2 linked regions of the Cricetulus griseus genome follow. The protein of the gene in region 1 purifies or fractionates together with the protein of each later gene. This does not show direct contact. Links are inferred from orthologs where the notes say so. Each region holds a gene or a part of one and is shown on either strand. Other genes may lie near its edges.

Region 1 (6,321 bases):
AAGGAAGGAAGACAGACAGACCGACAGACAGAAAGACCGTTCTTTCTCTTCATCACCTTGTCTTAGCTCTCTTGTAAAAAAATCATAAAAATGCCACAATTTGAATATAGATAAATACAGATTGCCACAAATATGTAGGTTTATTTCTATACTATTAATTATCTTTTATTGATCTCTATGTTGTCAGTACCACACAGCCTTGATTACTCTATCATTAAAATAATTTATTGTTTTTATTAATGTGTTTGTCTGTGTACATGTGTGCAGATGCTTGAAGAGGCCAGAGGAGTCATACCCCTGGAGCTGGAGTTACAGGTGGCTGTAAGCTGCACGGTGTGGATACTGGCATTAAACTCAGGTCTTCTAGAAGAGCTGTGTGTGCTCTTAAACACTGAGCCATCTCTCCAGCCCCCTTAATCACTGTATCTTTGTAGTAAGTTTTGAAGTTGAGAAGTCCAAGCCTTCCAAATTTGTCCTATTCTTTTCAGGATTGTTTTGGCAGTTCTTCTCCCTTGCATTCCCCTGTGAATTTCAGGATCGGTTTATCATAGGCATTCTCCTTGTTGGGTTCCAGCTGGTCTGCTGCTGTAACACATGCCTCAGGATTCCAAATTTTTTGTTTGTTTTTTCGAGACAGGATTTCTCAGGATAGCTTTGGAGCCTGTCCTGGAACTCTCTCTGTAGACCAGGCTGGCCTCCAACTCAGAGATCCACCTGCCTCTGCCTCCGAGTGCTGGGATTAAAGGTATGAGCCATCATCACCCAGCTCAGGATTTCAAATTTTACAATCATGTATCTGACAGGACTCAAGCCTCTCTGTTTGTACTACCATGTAGCAGAATATCCAGAACATTGCTGAATTTAGCAGCCACAGAAAGACAGTGTGGTAGGCAAAGCAATGCTTTGTCCCAAGATGTCGGGGTCCTACTCCTTGGGGCCTCTGAATGTTGTGCTATGTGGCAATGGGTAATGATGGTTGCAGATGGGCTTCAGGCTGCTAATCCGATGACCTTAAAACAGAGAGATCATTCTGGATTACCCAGATGGTCCCTGTGTCATCTCAATGGTTTTCAAAAGGAAAGGGAGGGCAGATCTGAGTGATGCCGTATATAATGAGAAGGCCACCTTCTCTCATTGACTTTGAAGATGGAGGAAGGAGGAGGCTTCCAGAAGCCAGAGAGAGTAGGAAGCAGATTTGCCCTAGAACCCCCCAGAAGTAATCAAGGGCTGCTGACACCTTGATTTTAGCTCAAGGAAGCCCACTTGAATTTCTGAAGCACAGAACTCTAGTTAAGTTTGTGTTGTTTGAAGCCACTGAATTCGTGGGACTTTGTAAATAGCAGCCACAGAAAATGAGCTTGAAGGGTTTGGGGACCCATGGATGGTTCCTTCTGTGCCTCTGGCTGAAAGTGGCATGTGACATTTGCACCCGCATTTCATTGGTCAGAATAAGCCACAGGGGGGCGTCCAACTCCACAGGAAGGAAGATGCCTGGCATCCCATACATCCAGCCTCAGGGAATCCTGGTGCCTGTAGGGAGTATCTAGTACATCTTTGTTGCCTGTAGCACTTGTTTCTATAGTCTAGTCCATCCCATTTCATTAAAAATCAAAAAATAAAGCCAGGTGTAGTGGCACTTATGAGGCTGAGGCAGGAGGATCTCTGAGTTTGAGGCTAGCTTGGTCTACATAGTGTGTTTCAGGATAGCTAGAGCTACATTTGTGAGACCCTGTCTTGAAAACAAACAACCAACCTCAAAATATAATCAGGCATAGGAGCGCATGTCTTTAATCCCAGCACCTGAGAGGCAGAGGCAGGAGAATCACTGTGAGTCTGAAGCCAGCTTGTTTGTATTTGAGTTCCAGGACCCTGCCTCAAAAAAAAGGATCTCTGTGTATGTACGTACTGTATGTGTATGTGTGCGTAGAGGCTAGAGGTCAACTATGGATGTCTTCCACTATCATTCTTCACCTAATTTTTTGAAACAGGGCCCATCACTAAACATGGAGCTTTCTGTGAACCCAGAGCTCTTTATGTAGGCCAGACTGTGTGGCCACAGAAGCCCCCGGGATCTGCCTATCTTTGCCTTCCCAGTGCTGAGGTTACAGGTGCAGCCTGCCACATATAGCTTTTACATGGGTACTGGGCATCTGAACTCAAGTCCTCATGCTTGTGAAGCAGGCGATTTATCCACTGAGCCAGCTCTCCGACCTGTAATGTTTTAAGTAGGTTTCCTAATCAACCAGTGACTTGCAACCTCTGGTTTGGACAATACTAATCTCCAGAGCCTCTTCTGCTCATGCTTCATGGACCACAGGCTATGTCCTGGACACAGGTGATTGGGCCAGGGGGTGGGGTACCTAATCAAAGCTGACCAATCAGATTCCTCTCCTGGGAATTTGGAATTGGGCCATTCAGTCAGTTAGCAGCGGGAAGCTGAGTGAGAGGCAGGGTAGAAACAGGGTTGGAGTGTGAGTCACATGCGAGCCCAAAGGATGGAGGAGCAGAAAAATCCCTGAGTAAGCGGGGCGCGCTGGTCCACAGAGACAATGGAGCAGCCGCACAGACAGCCTCGCAGCCAGGAGGCCCTGCAGCAGCCCCAGAAGGAGCGGTGGAGACAGGGAGCTACGGCTTGAGGCTCCGATGGCGTCCCCATTCTCAGCTCCGGCCCCAGCGCATCCTGCCTGCTCATCCTTCCCGTGAGATTTTGGCCTCCTTATTAGGACCTCCTCTTCTTTCTCGAGCTATCCTGAACCTTAACCAGGAAGGACACTGCTGGTCTTTCTCTTTGGGGAACCCAGCTGTGACTAAGGCTCAGGTTGTGGGGCACAGGCAAGGCTGGGGGTGAACAGACGCAGCTGCTCAGCAAGGCTGGCTGGGATTGTGGGCTTAGGTTAGGCCACGGGCAGAGAGGTCTATGCGGTGTTGCACACGTGGGGTTGTGGAAACGGAAAATACCCCATAGAGCCTCTTTTCTGACAGTGTTGGGGCAAGAAGTGAGTGGAGTTTTGAGTGGTGGTGCTTGGCTATGTGATGGAGTGGTTGAGTCTCGTGGGTGCCTCTTCGAGCCTCAATGTCTCCATCTTTGAAATGGGATTGTCCAGGAAGAGCCTTGTCCTGGGAAAAGTACTTAAAGGCATGAGTGGGGAATAATAAACAGACAGAGAATGAGGCAGCTGCTCTTGTTGTTTGAGGAAGCCACAAGAGTCCTGGCTTCCTGAAGGAGGTGGCCTCGGGTGCTGACTAAGGTAGTGGCAGGACATTCCCCACTGATGGCTGTGCTTCCTGCCCCTCTTCAGCCCCACTCTGCCCCTCACCCCAGTCACCTTTCATTTATCCCTCTCTCCCTCCCCTCTTGTCTGTTCTTCCTGCCGTTTTGAAACATGGATTTAGGAAACAGTGGGTTGGATTAAGGCACCAATCTCTGGAGGCCCAGTCAGAAGTGAGTCTGGGTCCCGACCTAGCCCCTTGCTTGCTGTGCTCCTGGGCAAGTTAATGCATCGCTTGGAGCCTCCAGTTAATTATCTGTGGAGTGGGAGTTAGACTATCCTTTCTACTATGAGAAATAATGAGCTGCTCGGCAGAGCTTTAATTCCCCTCCCCTTTGCCTCTCTCCGCTGCTTGGTGAATATTGCTCCTCCTGGCCCCACGTGTGCCTCGTCCTTCCCGGCAGCCACTAGAGTGGCTTTCTCTCTCAGTTGTTTATCCTGCCTGGGTGTGAGATCTTTCCTTTTCCTTAGAGCACAGGCTACCAAGGGCTGGAGGTAATTGTGACTTGGAAGCCACAGGGTTTTCACTTCTCTGGTTTCCTGGAGAAACATGGAGCTCCTAGCTTCTAGCTTGGAGTTGCTGGTTCAGATGGAGTGGTCTGCATTTTTTTCCCCTTACTTTAACAATTATCACACCCTGGCCAGTTGTGGCTTCTTCACACTCCCAACACTGATAAATATTAATGAGAAGACAAGGCTCCCAGGGCCCCTAGGGGAATGTTTGGGGAGAGGCTGGGCCACGCTCTCCTTTGCAAGCAATACTCAGACCTGTCAATATTCCCTAGGTCCCAGAAGGGAGGGTGAGGCAGGGCCATGGCTGTGGAGACCCCACACAGTCACAGGCCTGGATGCCTGCAGATCAGCTTCTGGGAAGGATTGGGGCACACCCTGCTGAGGCTGCCTAGGGGTTTCACCTTTCTGGGTCTGTCCCATCTCTCCCTGCTTCAGGCTTTCTGATTCTTTCCCTGGTTTTCTTCTCCTCCTGTCTCTTGTTCATCTTTTATTTTCATACCTCTACCTCTGTCTCTCTCTTCTCTCTTCACACCTCCCCTCCTTTCAATACCTTTCCTCATCCCCATCTCTCTAGCTTTCACTTTTCTTCTGCCTCTCCCCAGTAATGGCTGAGAAATTGTGGGCTGGATAAAGGTACTTAGGCGAGGGAGACTCGGGTTCCCAGACACAGCTCTAGAAGGGGAAAGGTTGCCATGAAAGGCAAGTGGCACTCTTCAGGATTTAGGGACTACATTACCATCTAATCTCAGGCCCAGTGCTCTGCTATTCGAGCATAGGCATCTGCCCCCACATTCCTGTGCCTCTGTCCCTCAGTGAAGCAATGAAATTCATTCATTTATCTGTTCAACTAGTTTATATTGTACTCTTGCCACCCTCAATCATTTAACAAGTATTTCTTGAACAATAGTGACGTGTGCCTTTGTGTGTGTTTGGGATGTACCCGTGGACAGGAGAGACAGTGGGCATATTTGGAGCGGGCATGCCAGCAGAGCAGACAGGTGGGGCAAGAAGTAAAGTATATGGTCAGGGGGTTGCTGGGAAGAAAGGAAGAGTGAATCAAGAGAAGGACTGGCTGACAGGGGTAGTGGGATTGGGAAAGTGGGCATTTGGGAAGAGTGTCCAGGGTAAGAGAGTAGGGTAGGGGAAACTGGGAGCAAAGGCCTTGTGCAGCAATCACCTGGTGGATAAGGAACGAGGAACAGAGGGGCTGGAGAGCAGTGAGGCTGGAGACTAAGGGAGGGTGGCAGGAGGTGACATAGGGAGGGAAAGAGGCCAGGTCAGATCACTGGGACTTAGCAGGCACTGAAGGATTTTCCTTTACTCGAGCTGGGTGGGCTTGTGAGTCTCCCTCAGCCCACTCTGAAGGATTGAAGGAGGGCTGCAGGCAGCTAACATTCATCCTAGGAGGAGAGGTGGAAGGAAGGAAGCTGTCCTGCTCTGAGGCTTTGCTGGTCCCTGTAGGACACTCAAGGCCTTTATCTATGGCCCTGTCTAGGGTCGCCTGCAAGAGATTGGCTGGGCAGAATCCATTAACCCTGGCTTGGCCTCTCTTTCTTTTCACAGAGTGTTCAAGAAGGCAAGCCCCAATGGAAAGGTGAGTCTGTAGTGTGTGCTGACTCCTCACTGTTCCCACACTCTGGGTGCCTCTGTGGATTAGGAAAGGAAGCAGCATCTCCTGGGAGAGACAGGCACTGTTAGCTGTCTAGGGCTGACACAGCTCTGTCCTGAGGGCCATAGGAGCCCAATGGGATGTGTGGGATGTGGGGGGGAGAGCTCCCTGGAAACTTTCTGTGTGGGCTTCAGGGAGCCCCAGTTGGGGGAGAGATGGACTGGCTTCTCCCAAAGAGACATCAGTGTGAGTGTGAGAAACTGAGGCAAGCTGGCCACTGTGACACCATCAAGTCCCCTGGTGTGAGAGGTCATGGTGTCACCTCATCCATCCATCTTTCTTCTGGGACTCCCAGGGCCTGGGCTTCTTGTTTGCTTGCACAGGCTGTAGGCTGTATCCCATTTTACTCTGTTCAGCAAACAGGTAGTACTGACATCTATGCTAGGTCGGGGCTGGGACTGCTGGGGGTTGGGAGGGTACCAAGATAAGAGAGGCATGGTGCTCCCAGTGTGAAAGTTGATCATCTCACACAGAATGCCAAGTGTGAGATTCTGGGATGCCCAGGGACTGGAAGACCTTGCCTGGGATGTGTGTGTCAACCATGGCTTCTTCTGGAGGTGACACAGTTCTAGGCAAAGCTAGGTGAAGAGGGGGATCTCTAGGGTTGAGCATAAAATCCAAGAAAGTGTGGGGCATCCCAGGGTTGTAAGTCTCCAAGCGAAATGAAGGAACAGTGTAGAGGATGACACAGGGCACATGGCAGTTTCCTGTGGCTGGGCTTAGCAGCTCACACACCCTGGGTTGCCTTCTGCATGTCTATATCTCCATTTGGAGTCCATCGTTAATCATCTTTAACCTCTCCTGCTGAGCCAGGATCAGTCCTATCTTGGATTCCTTGGCAATCTAGGGCCACAGGCATCCCAGACCAGT
Region 2 (6,129 bases), on another chromosome or scaffold:
TCCAAGTGTTAACATGACATCCACTTTAGCAAAATGATTACTATATTGTGGTAGAAATTAGACAAGCTGTCATTGGGTGCCTGGGTAAATTTCTAGGTATTTTGTCTTTCTCTTTAGGGAAATGGAAACAATACCTAGCTTACAATATTAATTCTGAGAACTAACAGTGTGATGCATAAAGGGCTGGGATTCCTCCAAAAATTTATACTGTGATTTTCCAAAAGCCCATGCTCATACTTCCAAAGCAGAGCGGGGCATGTATTTGTAGACAAATGATACAATTTTGAAGCCACAGAGTATCTCAAATATGTCAGGACTGACAGTCTACAGCTGCAATCCCAGCACTGGGGGGTGCTGAGGCAGAAGTCTTACCAACAGATTAACCTGGACAACCAGGTTTCAGACCAACCTGGGGCTACAATGTGAACCCTGGCTCTAATTATCTCATGGGCACAAATCCAACCCCACTACTATAAAAGCAAGCATACCACATACACACAAAAAGGCAAATGGCTTCTCCCACTAATGTATTTAATGAAAGACAGAGCCTGGAATTGAGATCTCCTACTTACAATCAGTCTCACTTGGCCTCAATAATTGTATATGTGCAGAGCAAGCCTGCAGGGTTGATGAACAGAACTCACTGGGAAAGTTTCATTTTAACATGGGATCCTTACTATCTGGAGGTTTTGTTTTGTTTTTTCATGGATTTTACATCTTTCCCCCAGTGTCCTCACATCCATATACTGGGGAAGGGGATGGAATTATGAAGAGAAAGGAGAGTTGGTATATGGCTCATCAAGAAAAAGATCAAGTCTCACCAGAAATCTGAGGAACTACAGAGGCCTCTTGGGTCTGTTTCTGACAAAGTCTGACCCAAGGTGCCTTACTTCTCCTGAGCTAATTCTAGAGGGAGTTGACAGATTGCAGGCTCCTAAGTGGAGAAGGGGTGAAAGCAGATATTCTATTTCTGCAGGTAAAACTAGTGCATCACAGGACCAAATCCCTTTCTCTGGGGAGTAGCTACCCACAATGCTGCCTTCCCTGGGGAGCAAGGACCCTGGAAGAGCCAGCAGGGTTCAGATGTGGTCAATGTGAGGACTGCCTTGAGCATCCTACAGGATGCCTTGCAGCTACTTTCTTAGCTATAATTAAGGGCCAGCCTTGGCTAAAGTACTAAGCCAGTTGCTCCGCTAGGCACTCACCATAAACTCAGACTCCATTCTCTGCAGCAAGTGGTAAATCTGACACAAGAACTCAACAGTTACTGTTGCTAGGAAGCTACAACTTCTACTGCAAACACTACTACACCTTGCTCTACTTTTTTTAAAAAAAAAAATGTGGTTTCTATTTAACACTTTTTCCATACATAGCTAGAGTTCGCCCTCCCCCAGGAGACAAGATTATCGAACCCTATTTAATATTCTAGGGGTTCTCCAAGCGCTTGGGTGTTTTTAATGTCAAAGCTTCCCAGCTTCATGGGGTGGGGGTGAGGGACGGCCAAATGTCCCTGCAGTGCCTAGAGCCTGGAATGGGCAAAACACAGACGGCCTAGTGACACTCATGTCTCCTTCCTCGAAGAAATTTATGAGAAGCGAATCCCTGCAGTCAGCCAGCATTTCCACTCGTGGGTTTTCAAAAGATCAAAAACCGGAAAGGACCTGCAAATTGGCAAATCGCTAAGAGGAACCGCCCAGCGGGTCTGCGTCCTTGGGATCTCAACAGCTGAGGACCCCACATCCAATCGACAACGGTGGGAAACCCCAGGGAAAGCAGGGTTCTTGCAGAGGCCTGGGGTTACTGAGTGCAGGCTGCAGGGAAGTACCTAGAGGGAGGGGGCCTGGTCCGGAGGACTTTCCAGCCACTCAGGGCTCATCAAAAAGTTCCCTGTGCATGACCCCAGTGGCTCATCGCAGGGAGTTTCTCCAATGAACCCCGGCCCTGGGTTTAGGCTTCTCAGTCGAGGACGAGCCAGTTCTTTTTCTAGTCTGACTGGCTTGGAAATTCCCCGAGCCTGACCCCGCCCCTGAGAAATCCCCTGCCAGCGTTTATAGGGCGGCGCGGCGGCGCTGGCGAGCCCACAACAGTCGCAACTCGCCGCCCAGCCGCCAGCAGCTTGCAGCTCGCAGCCCCGCACGCAGCCCCGCGCAGCCATGTTTCAGCCAGCCGGCCACGGCCAGGACTGGGCCATGGAGGGCCCGCGGGACGCTCTCAAGAAGGAGCGGCTGGTGGACGATCGCCACGACAGCGGCCTGGACTCCATGAAGGACGAGGAGTACGAGCAGATGGTGAAGGAGCTGCAGGAGATCCGCCTGCAGCCGCAGGAGGCGCCGCTGGCCGCCGAGCCCTGGAAGCAGCAGCTCACGGAGGACGGAGACTCGTAAGTGGCGGCGGGCACGGGCGGCGGGGTCGCGCGCGGGAGGCCTGGGGTGGGGTGCGGTGGGGACCTGCAGCGCGCTCGGGGCTCTGCACGGAGGGAGCACGACGGGGCTCCCGGGGATGGCGAGCGCCCAGGTCGCCTGCCTCCCCATCCCATCCCCCTTCTCCTCCCCTGCCAGGGACCCGGCGTAGCCGAGCGCAGGCCGGGGGCGGGGCGGGGCGGCCGCGGGGACGCCAAGTCCCGGCCTGGCAGTTGTGCGCGCAGCCGCCGGGCGCCGCGCGGCCGCGAGGGGAAGTACAGGGCGTTCCGGGCGGCGGAGGGCGGGCCGGTCTGGCCGGCGCCCGCCCGGAGGGGGTGGGGCACGGAAAGTCCCTGGGCCCCTGCCAGGAACACTCAGCTCATAATAACCTCGCGGAAAACACCGCGGCCGCGGCCTCCAGAAACCCCGGCCTTGCGCAATCCCCCGCAGCCCGCGCCTCTTGGGGGCCCCCACGCAGTGCGCTCACCGCCCCTCGGGGGCTTTCCCTGTCATCCCTCAGGTTCCTGCACTTGGCAATCATCCATGAAGAGAAGACTCTGACCATGGAAGTGATTCGGCAGGTGAAGGGAGACCTGGCCTTCCTCAACTTCCAGAACAACCTGCAGCAGGTGCGCGCTGCCCCAGCCGTGCCCTCTTTGACCTGGTGGTGGAGTTGGATGTTAGCTCAGTCGCCCCCAAAGTGTTTCTAAATTAATAGTCACTGAGCCCTTATCTGCCCTGGCCTTTTACATTCAAATTAGCCAACATCTTAGAGCTTGAAGAAAATCCCAGGGGTTTGGTGAGGTCTTTACGACCCAACTGGGGCTTCATGTTTGCCTGGTCCCCTGTAGCCATCAGGGAGGAGCAGAATTCACAAGGAGTTGTCTGGGGTTCAGGAAACTCAAGACTATGGATTTGCTCCATGACTTATCCCCGTTCTGTTTCCTCTTCCGTTTGTAGACTCCACTTCACTTGGCTGTGATCACCAACCAGCCAGGAATTGCTGAGGCACTTTTGGAAGCTGGCTGTGATCCTGAGCTCCGAGACTTTCGAGGAAATACCCCTCTACATCTTGCCTGTGAGCAGGGCTGCCTGGCCAGTGTAGGAGTCCTGACACAGACGTGCACACCTCAGCATCTCCACTCCATCCTGCAGGCCACCAACTACAATGGTAGGTCTATCAGTCCATCCCAGGACACAGAGAAGGGAGAGGTGGGCCCACTTGAGTCTAGGCTAGAGCCTAAACTCTCAACATAAAACGTTCAGACAATATGGACTTTAAAAAAAATCCCTTCTTGATGTCCTTATAATAATGTTCAGTCAAAACTCAAATTCTGAGTTCTTAAGAATTGAGGATATTTGTGGTTGTCCCATAAGAAAATAGGGCACGAGTTGTGTGACAATTGAAACAAGTAGTTATATTTTTTGTCTCTTATTCCTCTAGGCCACACGTGTCTGCACCTCGCCTCCATCCATGGCTACCTGGGCATCGTGGAGCATTTGGTGTCTTTGGGTGCCGATGTCAATGCCCAGGTGAGTGCAGTTCCCTTCTAGTTGGAGCCAGTCAGGTTCCTCCTGAACTCTTCCAGACTTGTTCTTACTGCAAGTGGATTTCCAGATGTGGCCTTAAACATGTCTGATTGCTTTGGTTTCAGGAGCCCTGCAATGGCCGGACAGCCCTCCACCTGGCAGTGGACCTGCAGAACCCTGAACTGGTGTCGCTCCTGTTGAAGTGTGGTGCTGACGTCAATAGAGTGACCTACCAAGGCTACTCCCCCTATCAGCTCACCTGGGGCCGACCAAGTACCCGGATACAGCAGCAGCTGGGCCAGCTGACCCGGGAAAATCTTCAGATGCTGCCCGAGAGTGAGGATGAGGAGAGCTACGACACAGAGTCAGAATTCACGGAGGATGAGGTGAGTGTTCGTCACTACCAGAATGGTCCATTCTCCCTCACCCCTCTCCCGTCCCTAGAGCAGAACTAGTCTTTATTATAGGGATCTCAACATAATTATTTAACGAAACGCAGCTTGCAAAACCAGTATCCCAAGAACTTGTCTCTCTGATTTGTTTTAACCCTTGGAGGTGAAGGGAGGTTCTGGAGTTTGAACCCAGGCCTTAACACGTGGTAACAGGCATGTGTTCTGCCATTGAACTACACCTCCTGCCGTAGCTTAGATTGTTTTTAAGGGAGAGAATCAATGAAGGAAAACTCCGACAGCATGGGGGATTCATTCTATTTGGGTTAAGGAGGAAAGAGTCCAAGATTGTGAGTTATTTGCAGAAGCAGTCCCCTCCCCTCATCCCAATGTCTTGGCAAAGTTCTAGGAATTTAATATGCCTTTTTTTTTTCCCCTCTTGTTTTAGCTGCCCTATGATGACTGTGTATTTGGAGGCCAACGTCTGACATTATGAGTGGAAAGTGTCAAAAAGAACATGGACTTGTATATTTGTATAAAACAAGAGTTTTATTTTTCTAAAAAGAAAGAAAAGAAGAAAAAAAAGAAAGAAAGGGATATACTTACCACCACACTGCACACAGCCTGCCCCCAAGCATCTTACTCTGGTGATGGCAGATTGTTATTTTTGTGAAATGGGGAAACAGATCATTGGAATTCAAAGAAAATGTCTTTTAAAGCTCACATTCGTGAGGTTTTGGGAGGTGGTTTTCCAGACTGATGAAAGGGACCACATTCTATTTATTGTGCTTTTGACTGAACGGTAGATCTGGTAGCTGAGCCTGGTATGTCCTCACATGTAGAACCAGGTGTTGAGTGGTATGTGCTAGTCACTCCCGACTGAGGTTTTTGTTACCCTCTTGTAAATGTTGTATATGGTGTATTTTGTTGGTAATTATTTTGGTACTTCTAAGATGTATATTTATTAAACAGATTTTTACAGACAGCATTGTCCTGCTCATTTTCTATTTTGAGAGTAGCTTGTTCCTGGAGGTTGAGAGCTGAGGGGGTGATGCCCAGTCAGCTAAGGAAGCCCAGAGCAGCTCCTCACGTAAGCCCAGCCTTTCCCCAGCAAAGCTTTGCCGCCCTCCAACCCCTGTGTGGGTGGGAGGCTGCTAGGGTGACAGGAAATGCCAGCCTTGGGCTGGGGTACCAACAAACCACCTGGCCTGTCACTGAAGGCTCTATTGTCATTTTCGCCTTGATTTAAGCAGTTCCAGAACCCTACTTGTCACTGAACTGAGTTTGGACAAGAGGGAATCTGCTGAATTCATTTGATATAGCTGGGAAAATTCTCAAGAGTGGACATGGGCTCAGGAAAGTACTCCTGCCATCTAGCAGACAGTCAACCTCTGAGACTTCTTATTTATTGACTGGGCTGTTGTAGACATTGCACAAGACTAAAATACAGACAGTATCAGGCATCTAGTGCTTAGGGAAAAAAAAGTACACAGCTATTGTACAACATCCTGTGTTTCACGGGGGAAGCAAGAGAGCCAGAGAACAGCTTGTGCAAGGACACCCTGAGGAGAGGAAGCTGGCTCACTTACCTAAGTCCTTGTCTTTAGGCTGTTAACCATAAGGCCATGCATCTGTTTTGCCTAACTGTAGTCTCAGGGCTAGTAAGCTCAGAGAAATCTTTTCATCAGGGCAGTGTACTGATTCTACTGAATGATTCTGCCAAAGTCAATTTCACAATAAGTCAGTAACGTGAAAATTGCACTTAGGTGCTTGGTACTTAATGTTTTTTGGGAGAAAGGAGTAAGGTGACA

What was found.
Region 2: the proteins of Arrb1 (region 1) and Nfkbia purify together in Homo sapiens (affinity purification with western blotting; 3 studies listed by BioGRID and IntAct, with this or other methods). This does not show direct contact. The link is inferred for Cricetulus griseus from reciprocal best matches to the Homo sapiens genes ARRB1 and NFKBIA.

What each region holds. Positions count from the first base shown.
Region 1 is NC_048596.1:99,979,093-99,985,413, reverse strand, and holds the start of Arrb1 (beta-arrestin-1), read left to right. Parts: upstream 1-2,421; 5' UTR 2,422-2,643; coding exon 2,644-2,699; intron 2,700-5,345; coding exon 5,346-5,376; intron 5,377-6,321. UniProt on the Homo sapiens protein: Functions in regulating agonist-mediated G-protein coupled receptor (GPCR) signaling by mediating both receptor desensitization and resensitization processes.
Region 2 is NC_048598.1:146,912,886-146,919,014, forward strand, and holds Nfkbia (NF-kappa-B inhibitor alpha), read left to right. Parts: upstream 1-2,073; 5' UTR 2,074-2,153; coding exon 2,154-2,380; intron 2,381-2,919; coding exon 2,920-3,028; intron 3,029-3,359; coding exon 3,360-3,570; intron 3,571-3,843; coding exon 3,844-3,932; intron 3,933-4,054; coding exon 4,055-4,315; intron 4,316-4,766; coding exon 4,767-4,814; 3' UTR 4,815-5,303; downstream 5,304-6,129. UniProt on the Homo sapiens protein: Inhibits the activity of dimeric NF-kappa-B/REL complexes by trapping REL (RELA/p65 and NFKB1/p50) dimers in the cytoplasm by masking their nuclear localization signals.